Callithrix jacchus: one gene and its partners. The protein of the gene in region 1 interacts with the protein of each later gene in a biochemical or structural test. Links are inferred from orthologs where the notes say so. Each region holds a gene or a part of one and is shown on either strand. Other genes may lie near its edges. The genes, in order: SHC1, CSF3R and PTPN12.

Region 1 (3,746 bases):
TTCCTCCGTCCCTACTGGTCTCTTGCTCTCAAGCCCTCTTCCTAGTTTTTGGCCTCCTAACTAGATCTCCCCTTAGCACCCCCACCAGTGTTTCTAGTCCCCCTGCCCAACTCCACCAACCTGCTTGCAGTCTGCGGCCATGAGGTTGAGGCTGCTGGTGGAGATGGTGAGAGTGATTGGCATCCCAGCAAATTTCAGGTTACTCCTTCCCAGGATAGAGCTGAGCGGGCGGCTACAGGGCTAAGGTAGGGCCCAGGGTCTCAGAAGGTGAGGGTTCCCAGCTCCGGCAAACCACACTCTTGCCTTCTGGCCTTCCCCCACATGCCCCACACTTGCCTTCCCCCTGCCCCTCACATCTCCCAGCTGCATCCCTATCCCCAAGGACCCCAGATACCTTTCTCCTCCTTGTCGCCCCCTTAGCACCCGGCACAGCCTCACACACCAGACTGATGGCCTCCCTGGGGAAAGAGGGGTACTCAGACCCAGTGCCTGCCTGCTTCCCACTCAGCTGGGGCTGCCACAGGGCTGGGGGAGGGGAAAGCCAGGCCAGACTCCCAGGGCACTCCAGGCTCTTTGTCGTGGTGGATTGAATTAAGGGCCTTTAATATTTGATGACACTGAGAGGCCGCTTCCTGGCTGATTGGGTTAGGGCCTCAATGGGTACAGACCCACCCACTTCCAGCTACCAAATGTCCCATTCCCTTCCCAAAGGCAGCAGCAACCTTCCATCTACCCCCATTTTCTACTCCAGCTCTACCTGCCAGCTGCTTCTGCCACCTTCCCCACAACTCCCAAGGATGGATAGGTAAGGAGGATCCAGGCCAGAGGGGCCTCCTTTCAGTAAGATACAGAATTACCACCAGCTTTCTCTCAATCCCCTCCACTACCCAAAGATCAGCCCCCACCAGCAGCACTCAAGTGACCACTCCCCTCCTCCCTTTCCTGTGGCCTCACTAACCCCGGGACTCCCCCAATCCACTCCCTCCCCACTAACCTGGTGACCTGAGTCCGGGTGTTGAAGTCCAGGGCACGCATTGACTGCAGGACCTCCACACAGCCCATGTACTAAGCGGAAGGAGGGGAGGACAGCAGGTCAGCAGCTCCCCCACCCCAGCCCCTTCACAAAGGGCCCTAGGACTTTGCCCACATGGTCCTTAAGGGAAGTAGAGATGGAGAGGTTCTGCCCACTTCCCGTGGCTACATCCCACAATCAAGGTGAAAGACAACAGGGAATGAGGAGAGAAAGAAAGGCAGGCTAGAAAGAAGGACCTCGCACTGGGGAGAGAGTTTGGAGGGGACCGACAGGCATTGGCTGGGATGGAGTGACAACTCCAGAAAGCAGGAGGAGAATGGAGGGGAGGATCAATAAGTCACTCATTCCAACACTTACTAAGAGCTTCTGCCATGCTGGGCATTGTGCTAAGCATGGCAGGGTAGAGGTGGGGGTGGGGGAGTCAAAAGAAGGAAGGGGGCTCAGGCAGAGCTGGAAGGGAAGGGACTACAGAATCAGGGAAGGGATGGGAAAGGTTTAGGAAATAGGACACTGAAACGGGGTTGTAGAACAGCAGGAGAAAAGAGATTCCAGCCAAGCTGGAGTGAGCAGAACTGGGGGGGGGGGGGGGGCGGGGGCTGGGAGGGAGTGGAAGAGAGAATGTTCACTCACCCGAACCAAGTAGCAAACCCCGGGTCCCATGACTTTGTCGTTGGGATGCAGCCAGCCCCGTGTGGGCTTATTGACAAAGCTCCCGTGGCGGGTCCACTCCTCGCCCCCCAGCTGGCCCCCTTCCACCCGAGTCCTGCGCCCGCCGCCTCCACTCAGCTTGTTCATGTCCTGGAGGAGGGGTAGGGGGCCTGAGTCTGGCATGGCTGCCCCTACGATCCCCTCCCCATCATCGGCTGCCCTTCCTGGCTCCCCCTTAGGCCCGGGGCGCCCCCCAGCCGGATTGGCGAGCCTCAGGTTGCTCATCCGCGGGAAGAAGGAGCACAGGGTAGTGGGACTATCGTCCCCAGGCAGAGGAGGCAGGATGGGTCCCAGGGATGAGGCTGATGGGGAAGGCAGCTCCTCCGGGGGGGTGGACCCTGAAGCCCCCTCCTCCAGCGATGACAGAGACTCATTCCGGAGTGGATTGTACTTGGGCTTAGGGGGCAGGAGATCCATAGCTGAGGTGAGAAAGGGGCTGCTGCCCGGCCTGGCCCCCCTGCCAGTTTGGGCAAGGGGGCCAGGCAGAGGGTATCCCCAGGCCCTTAGCCTGGTCGGACCTCTGTGGCCCAGGAGTCACAGAAGTCCTGGGGAGGGAGAGGGACAAGTGGGTTCCGCTCCCCAGCTCAGACCCAGACAGTTTCAGGCCCCATCCCCGCCCAACGTGGAGCCTCTTCTCTGGCTGAGAAGAGAACAGGCTGGACCCAGAGCTGCCTGGCTCCTCCCTGGGGGCGGGGAGCTAAGGAGAGAGACCAATCCGGAGGACAGTGCTGACTCACAGGCTCAGAGGGGCTGAGCCCCACCCTGCCCCAACCTCGAACTCTCCCCAGCCCTATACAAACAACTAGTAATCTGGGGAGGAGTAAAGTGGGGGGTGGGAGGAGAGGATGGAGAAATAAGACGGAAAGGAGGGAGATAAGAGGAGGTGCGGGTCACTGGAAACCGGACACAGGCAGACCAAAGGGGCCAGGAAGCCAGGCGAGAGTAGAGAGGAATGAGGGAGGAAACGGAGGCAACTGGGGGTGGAAAAGGGAGGAGATCTCAGAGCTCAGCATTTCCCTTCCTGTCCTGGTTGAACACTAGAATTCCCCCATTCTCGAGCCCAGGCCACCCCGCACCACTACCACATACAGTGAGCCTGGGCCATTAGCATCCTCTGCTACAACAGCTGTGGACTGGAGCTAGCGAAGTGGGGATGGGAAGGAAGTGGTCCCAATGGATGCAGAGCAGGGTCAAGAGGAAGAGCAAAGCTGGTGAAAATCAGGGAATAAAGTCCAACCTGGATGGTACATCAGGAAGCTACCAGGCAAGAAGTGAACAAGAGGACATGCTGGTCACAGCTTGTTCTCTATGCGCGGCATCTACCACACCAAAGAGCTATGGCTCACAGCCAAGCACTATCCAGTCTCCCCTTTCCACAGGCTTAACACAGTACATTGTCAAGGGTGAGAATGAGGCCTCAGGTCCCCACACCCACTCCAAACCACCCCACTTCATATCCCTGCTCTTACAGGGCCCTAAGCCCCACCAAAGAGTACAGTGTCCCTCACACCTGGGAAGGAGCCTGGCTGAAAGAAGAAACAGTTCTCCAAGAGACATAGAAGCTACACGCCAGGAAAGGACAGAGAGATCAGAAGACGCATCCATGTCAATAAGGACAGGAGAAAAAATAAGTACAGGACAAAGGGATGTCAGGAGAAGACGGGCTGAAGCTGGCACAGGGAACAGTCCCAATCCCATTCCCGCCACCCACGGCTTCCTGCCACTGCTCTTCTGGAGAATGCCATAGGAAAGCTGGAAAGTGACCAAAAAAACAAGTTAAAGATACATATTCCCACCAGGTGCAGTGGCTCACGCCTGTAATCCCAGCACTTTGGGAGGCTGAGGCAGGTGGATCACCTGAAGTCAGGAGTTCGAGACCAGCCTGGTTAACATGGTGAAACCCTGTCTCTACTAAAAATACAAAAAATTACCTGGAAATGGTGGCAGGTACCTGTAATCCCAGCTCTGGAGGCTGAGGCAGGAGAATTGCTTGAACCCAGGAGGT
Region 2 (3,746 bases), on another chromosome or scaffold:
TGCAGGTGGTGTCCCAGCAGATCACTTGTGCTCAGCAGGGAGAAAGGTAGGAGAATCTTTTCCTATCCCTCACAGACAGAGGTGTGGATAAGAATTGCCCAGATACCCAAGGCTATTCCTGCTCACAGGGGCCTTACCCAGACCCCAGTCTATCCATATATATTGCAGTATCAGAATACCCAGGGACTCTAGCCTGTAAGTCTCCTTTGTGCAGATCAGAAAGAAAGCACCCCTTCTTCAGGATGGATGCAGCACCACACTAGGACCTGACAACTAGGGCACAGCCTGGATTTCATCTCCAGTTACTACTCAGTTTTGTGCAGTGAGAAACCTGCACAACTATCCCAAGCATCTGTCTACACATCGGTGGTTAGTCACCTTCTTACTACAGCACACCAGTTTGATTATCCCCCTTAACAGTGGTTGGGGAAGATTTAGCCTCCAAGCCCAAGACTTTGGGACACTGGTTTTCATCTCCATGTGCTTTTGATCATATCCCAGCTCTGTTGCCCTAGCCAGGGTCAGCTTCAGGCCCAGCCTATGCCCCGTGCAGTACCACCTTATCTGCCTCCATTGGCTCCTGTCCAGAGCAGACAATCTAGCCCCGAGAGGCCCTGGCCTCCTCCCGCTGGATGCTGGGTGTTGGCCTGCTTGGCCTCAGTCCCTGGTCCCTCACTGCAGCCCTGGGCACCCCCCACCCAGGTTGAGAGGGCCTAGGGCCTGTTGGAGCATCATCTCACTCTCTGGGGGGCTGATATGCAGAGAGGTTTGGAGCCCAGCTCAGATTCAGGTCACCTGACTTGATCTCTGGCTCCACCACTTACTTGTGACCTTGGACAAGTTACTTCACCTTTCTGAGCCGAGCCTCAGTTTCCCCATCTGTGGAAAATAAATAACATTAGCACTCATGCCTCAGGGTTGTTGTGAGGATGAAATGAGATGATTATGGTAAAGGCACTTAGCACTGTGCCTGGCATGGAATCGGCACTCAGCAACTGTAGGTTATTTTCATGAGCCATAAAGTGGGTCATCAGCTCACAGAATCCAGCACCGTTCAGTTCTCCCTTCACCCCTGCCTCCCTCACAGCCTGCATGGCCACACCTCCCAGGACTGCCACCTTGCTTTTATCTGTGCCACACTGCACAGTTCCCAAACCCCCTTTCTGGATCCTCTCCTCCTAGCTCCCTGGCCCCTGGCCCTCCTGTCACTGTGGCCTTCTCTGCCACCGGGCTCTGCAGGAGCTCGTTCCGAGGCTGCTGCCCAGCACACCATCTCCTGGGCTGGCTGCCCAGCACACCACCGTGCCTCCTGGGCTGGCCGCCCAGCACACCACCGTGCCTCCTGGGCTGGCCGCCCAGCACAGTTCCGTGCCTCCTGGGCTGGCCGCCCAGCACACCACCGTGCCTCCTGGGCTGGCCGCCCAGCACACCTCCGTGCCTCCTGGGCTGGCCGCCCAGCACACCACCGTGCCTCCTGGGCTGGCTGCCTAGCACACCTCTGTGCCTCCTGGGCTGGCTGCCTAGCACACCTCTGTGCCTCCAGTGCTAGCTGCCGTTGAGCCCCCTCTTGCTGTTTCTCCCTCCATCACCCTCAACTTTCTCCCCTCACACTCTTTTCCCCAGTTCACACCCCTTGCTCCCTTGCTGTTTTTACTCTTACCTCGAGATTCTTTCTGTGTGAAGGGTGGGGAGGGAAGAGGGGGCTGGGAATAAACAGAGGGAGAGGGCTTTCCAGTGTGCTGCAGATAAAGAAGAGAACGCCACAAAGAATAACAGAGCAAGGCGGTGACTGAAATCCACACAGACTGAAATGACAGAGACCCACCGAGAGGAAGATTGAGGCCGGAGATGTCGAGAGACAGAGAAAAAGGGCCCAAGAGACAAGTCCGCCGACCCAGAGAGCCAGAGGCACTCAGTGGCCTGGAGCCCGGGAAGCAGTCTGTTACCAAGAGTTTAAGATTCAAGGGATAGCAGGAAATATGTGAGACAAACTCAGAGAGACAGCAAGCCAGAGAGAAGTTTCAGGAGGAAATATGGAAACAGAGAGTGAAATAGACAGAGGCCCAGATGGAGCTGGAACTCACAGACACACACGTTCTGAGAGACAGAGGCATGGGAGAACGATTTTGTCTGCCCCCAGCCTAGCTCAGTGCCCCCAGGGAGAAACTTGGCTGTGAGTGACTTCCCTGGTGCAATACCCCAAAAAGTAGGGGCACCCTGTGAAAAGAGAGTCAGTGACCAGGCTGCATATTCCAAAGGATGAATCCCTGGCCCCAGACCTAGGACCCCGGACATGAATACTTGGCGGAGCTGCGGAGAATGGCCCCAGGATTCCAGCTCTCCGTCAAGCCCAAGGCTCAGCCCCTCTCCAGAGATCCCCTACTCACATTGGAGCCTCTGGTCCAGCATCTGCTTGGCCTCCCTGGTCTCTCTTCACCTCGTCAAGAGAAGTTCCTGAAACCAGCTGCAGTCCAGCTTCTCTCCCCAAGCTCTGTCGTTAATGGCTCGGCCTCTGACAGGCCCGGGGGCTGGGGATTGCAACACCTTCCGAGCCTCTCTCCTACCCTCCCTTGTGCCTTCGAGGGCACAGGCAGCCCCTTCCTCCCAGGAAGGAGCCTGCGAGGGAAGCTGGTGAGGCCCGGGCAGCCTTCCTGCCTTGGGGGTCTTAAAGGGCTGGGGAATGTGGCAACAATGTCCCCCTCCCCTGCCTCCGGATTTCCTGAGCTCAAAGCTTTGAGGCTGGGGAGGGCCCAGGCTCCCACCTGGCTGGATGCCATCCCCATGCCCCCAGCCCTGGGGGAGCATCACTTGGAGGCAGAGCTTGGCTGGAAGGCTCACCCAGCCCCAAGCCTCTTCTCAGCTCTAGCCTTGGGGCCCAGGTCTTCACAGTACGCAGAAGGGTGTCTTCCAGGTTCCAGGGAATTTTATAACCCAAAACTTACTGCTCCCATCTTCCTTACGTATTCTCTGCATTGCCCATAGACCAGGTGGAGGGAGAAACAGGCGTTCTAGAGGCAAGACAGGAGGATGTCTTGGGGGGGGCATGGGGTCTTCCTATGTTCACTAAAAATTACTAATGTTTACCCACAATGGTTCTGCAACACTGAATATTTTGTAATTGGGTGAAATAGACTACATTTTATGTCTTTTATTGTCTGTATTTATGATGCCTCAGCAACTACAAATAATTTTCTTTGCATTTTCTGAGAGATGTTCAAACTGCCCATAGTTTATTGGACTCATAACACAATCAAGGTGAGGTACCAACAGGCCAGCAGGCTGTCCTTAACATAGAATCCTTTTCAAGCATCTGGGTGTGGTGTGATGCTGCAGACCAGGGCTGCATTTCTATTTCCAGGTCAAATGACCCGACTGCCCACTGTAGCCTCCCAAGAAATCCCACAGGCTCCACTCACTCAGTGAATCCCGGGGACTCTCCTCTTTCAAAATATAACCAGAATCCTGGGTATTCACTGTAAAGTTCGACTTGGCTGTACGTGCGATTAATTTTATGATAATATATTGGAAAATATAAATATCACTTAAACCAATGCCAGCCAGCCCCAAGCTACCCTCATCTCTTGCCTAGGCCGTCTAAATAGCCCCCTCCCTGCTCTCCTGCTTCTTTCATCCTTGTTCTCCCACCTGGCTCCTTCAACAGCCAGTGCGTTATCAGTTAAACAGAAGTCTGATCAGGTCATCCTTGTGCCAAACTTTCCAGTGGCTCCTGTGTCTGGACAGAAGCC
Region 3 (3,646 bases), on another chromosome or scaffold:
ATTACCTTTTTCAGCACCTGAATGTATTGTTCCTGCTATATCATGTCTAGCAATGGACATTGGCAATACTTTCCTAGTAGAAATACTTTCAGTGCTAGTGGCAGCAGAAACTGTGGCACTTGCTGTTGAAATATTAGTTTTATTCTGGGTCACAGCACCATCAGAGTTTCTTTCATCTGAGTCTGAGTCATCAGAGTGAAGTGGATTAGTAAAACTGAGGGGTGTTCTGAAGAGAGGTGAAGTGTTATGATCCACAAGATCATGGGTTTCAACTCGTGTTGTAGGACTTGGTGTTAAACTCACAGTTTTCATAGTTTGATAGCAGATATCTGAGGAATTGCCTTCAGATAAATCAGGTATGGGTATGGCATTTTTAGGTCCATGAAATGACCACGTTGCATGTCCTTTTTCATCAAGAGGCAAGCAATCTGGCCTTGGAGGTGTGTCTGAATTCTGTGATTCTTCTGGTGGAGTAACTGGAACTTTGTTTGATTGTGTTGCACTGCAGTCCATACAAGAATTCTGAGAAATATCATCGACATTTAGATCTGAACTTAATTCCTGTTGTTTAGAGATTTTATCAGTTATACAAGGTGAAGCAGATTTAATTTTAATTGCATGCCCCCTATTCAAAAGAGTGTTCCCATCAAAACTTTTTGGTCCCTCTTGGAGAGGGACCTTCTTAATCTCAAAACTTAAATTTCGTTCCAATTTTTTATCTATTTGTTCGATTGTTGATTCATTTTTCCCTGGAAGGTCTGTTGATTTATTATAGTTCCTGTTGAGGTCTGCTGAATGTTGTTCTGATGAAACCATATGCAACACTGGCTTTGGATGGTATCTATCATTATCCTGCCACACAGTAGTGACTGTTGGGAAAGCTGAAGGGGGAGAAGGTGTCAAGATGGGTGGCACCGGATGAGGTTCTGGTGGCTGCAATATTTCTTCTTTAGCATCCCCTTCAACAAGGCAACTGAAAAACATTTAAAAAGAGCATTTTAAGACTGTTAAACACGTTGATACATGAGAATTATGTAGCTAAGACTAGTATATTAAGAGCTATTAGAATCTGGTTATTAATATAAATTGTCATTTTTCAGACTAAGAAAATTTAATGTTCAACAAGGTAACACACATATACCATATAAAAAGTCAAATATAAGACTTTTAATAAAAATCATATTCCCTCCACACCCCAAAGCCCCCCAGTTAGCCAGAGACATCCACTTTCAACTTTTTACAGTTGCTTCTAAAATTTACCTCTGTATTTCAGACTATTTCAAAAGTTATTTCTTAATCTTTATTTCACACATTTTCTATTGACTTGCTACTGTGAAACGTCCTTCTTTTCCATCTTTCTAATACTGTCATAATGTAATTTTTTGTTGCCATGATTTTATGTCTTTTCTTCTATCATGTCTTGTTTTCCCCTAATGACTGCCTTGGGTTTCTGATGGCGTAGCTCTCTATCCACCTTCAGTTACTCGGCTTTTCTTGTAACTTTCCTGCAGACTGGTATACCTCTTCTCAATAGTAACAAGCACACCTGGTAACTAACAATACCACAGACATCCCTCTTAGTAACCTTTGGCCTCCTGCTCCAGTGTGAACCACTGGTTCCCTAGTCCACCATAGTGCTAATGTTCTCCCTGGTTTCAGATTCTCCTGTTTCCCCAGGTCACATCTTCCTCTTTCTGGGTATATTCCTTTGTTTGGGTGGGTTATATCCTCTGGTTGCCTTTATTTTTTTCCTTAAAGAGATAGGGCCAGGTGTCATGGCTCACGCCTGTAGTCCCAGCACTTTGGGAGGCCAAGGTGGGCAGATTGCTTTCGCTCAGGAGTTCAAGACCAGTCTTGAACTTACCATTAGTAGAGATGGTAAAACCCCATCTCTACTAATAATACAAAAATTAGCCAGGTGAGGTGGAGCATGCCTGTAGTCCCAGTTACTCAGGAGGCTGAGGCAGGAGAACTACTTGAGCCTGGGAGGTGGAAATGGCAATGAGCTGAGATGGCACCACTGCATTCCAGCCTGGGCAACAAAGAGACACTGTCTCAAAAAAAAAAAAAAAAAAAAAAAGATGGGGGCTGGGCACAGTGGCTTACGTCTATAAATCCTACCACTTTGGGAGGCCAAGGCAGGTGGATTGCTTGAGCCTGGGGGTTCAAGACCAGCCTGGGCAATATAGCAAAACCTTGTGCCTTCAACAAATACAAAAAAATTAGCCGGGTGTGGCAGTGCATGTGGAAGTGGGAGGATCACCTGAGCCTGGGGGCAGGGGGGTCGAGGCTGCAGTGAGCTGTGATCATACAACTGTACTCCAGCCTGGGTGACAGAATGAGATCCTGTCTAAAAGAAAAAGAAAGATAGGGTTTACTATGTTGCCCAGGCTTTGCGGCTTTTTAAGAACTTTATATGAAGCAAACTTCTTAAGGGCTTGTATATCTGAGTTATTTTGATTTTCTTTTTCTTTTTTAGATACAGTCTCGTTCTGGTGCCCAGGCTGGAGTGCAGTGGCACCATCTCAGCTCATTGCAACCTCCACCTCCTGGGTTCAAGCAATTCTCATGACTGAGCCTCCTGAGTAACTGGGACTACAGGCACATGCCACCATGCCTGGCTAATTTTTGTATTTTTAGTAGAGACAGGGTTTTGCAATGTTGGACAGGCTGGTCTTGAACTCCTGGCCTCAAGTGGTCTTCCTGCCTTCCCCTCCCAAAGTGCTGGGATTACAGGAGTGAGTCACTGGGCCCCACATCAGAGTTTTTGCTTTTTTTTCTTCAAGGTGATCAACCTTTTTATTATCCAAACAGAATTGGTAGTAATCACATGGTACACCAGGTTTCCCCTTAAAAGAGACTCTGAAGTTCAGATTCTCTAGACACACTCCTAGAATAGGACATGGGAAGTTAAATGAGTATCTCCAGAATACTGGTCATATTAAAACAACAGCAATACTCCCATAAAATGTTCCTATATCTGTTTAAGTTTTACAAGCAGATTCTTTTTTTTTTTTGAGACAGGGTCCTGGCTCTGCTATCCGGGCTAAAATACAGTAGCAACAATCTTGGCTCACTGCAACCTCTGCCTCCAGGGCTCAAGCCATCCTCCCAGTTTAGCCTCCTAAGTAGCTTGGGACTACAGGTGTGCACCACCACACCTGGCTAAGTTTTGTATTTTTTGTAGACATGTGTTTTCGCCATGTTCATGTTGACCAGGCTGGTCTCAAACTCTTAAACTCAAGCAATCCACCTGCCATATCCTTCCAAAGAGCTGAGACTGCAGGTATAAGCCACTGTACCTGGCCTATAAAAGCAGGTTCTGAATCTTAAAAGAGTAGCCATCGAGTTTTTGTGATCTAAAACAAAAAATAATTGCAGACACCTCCTACAGTTTACAAAGCATACACAAAGATCAATAGGTTATCCTAAGAACACATAATACAAATAGGAAATATGAGTTTTAAAAGGACAAAATAAAATTTTGATATAAATTGAGGTTTATTATTTCTCCTACATGTACATGAGACCACTTGTCAACAATCAGTATTTTATTATTTTTATTGATTCAGAGTCTTACTCTGTCACTCAGGCTGCAGTGCAGTGGTGTGATCTTGGGTCACTGCAACCTCTACCTCCCAGGTTC

What was found.
Region 2: the proteins of SHC1 (region 1) and CSF3R form a complex in vitro, tested with the Homo sapiens proteins (2 studies listed by BioGRID, with this or other methods). The link is inferred for Callithrix jacchus from reciprocal best matches to the Homo sapiens genes SHC1 and CSF3R.
Region 3: the proteins of SHC1 (region 1) and PTPN12 form a complex in vitro, tested with the Homo sapiens proteins (2 studies listed by BioGRID). The link is inferred for Callithrix jacchus from reciprocal best matches to the Homo sapiens genes SHC1 and PTPN12.

Annotation. Positions count from the first base shown.
Region 1 is NC_133519.1:15,383,430-15,387,175, forward strand, and holds the start of SHC1 (SHC-transforming protein 1), read right to left. Parts: upstream 2,380-3,746; 5' UTR 2,159-2,379; coding exon 1,664-2,158; intron 1,066-1,663; coding exon 995-1,065; intron 459-994; coding exon 395-458; intron 241-394; coding exon 121-240; intron 1-120. UniProt on the Homo sapiens protein: Signaling adapter that couples activated growth factor receptors to signaling pathways. Participates in a signaling cascade initiated by activated KIT and KITLG/SCF.
Region 2 is NC_133508.1:73,047,144-73,050,889, forward strand, and holds the start of CSF3R (granulocyte colony-stimulating factor receptor), read right to left. Parts: upstream 2,641-3,746; 5' UTR 2,388-2,640; intron 880-2,387; 5' UTR 825-879; intron 1-824. UniProt on the Homo sapiens protein: Receptor for granulocyte colony-stimulating factor (CSF3), essential for granulocytic maturation. Plays a crucial role in the proliferation, differentiation and survival of cells along the neutrophilic lineage.
Region 3 is NC_133512.1:72,500,591-72,504,236, forward strand, and holds part of PTPN12 (tyrosine-protein phosphatase non-receptor type 12), read right to left. Parts: intron 974-3,646; coding exon 6-973; intron 1-5. UniProt on the Homo sapiens protein: Dephosphorylates a range of proteins, and thereby regulates cellular signaling cascades. Dephosphorylates cellular tyrosine kinases, such as ERBB2 and PTK2B/PYK2, and thereby regulates signaling via ERBB2 and PTK2B/PYK2.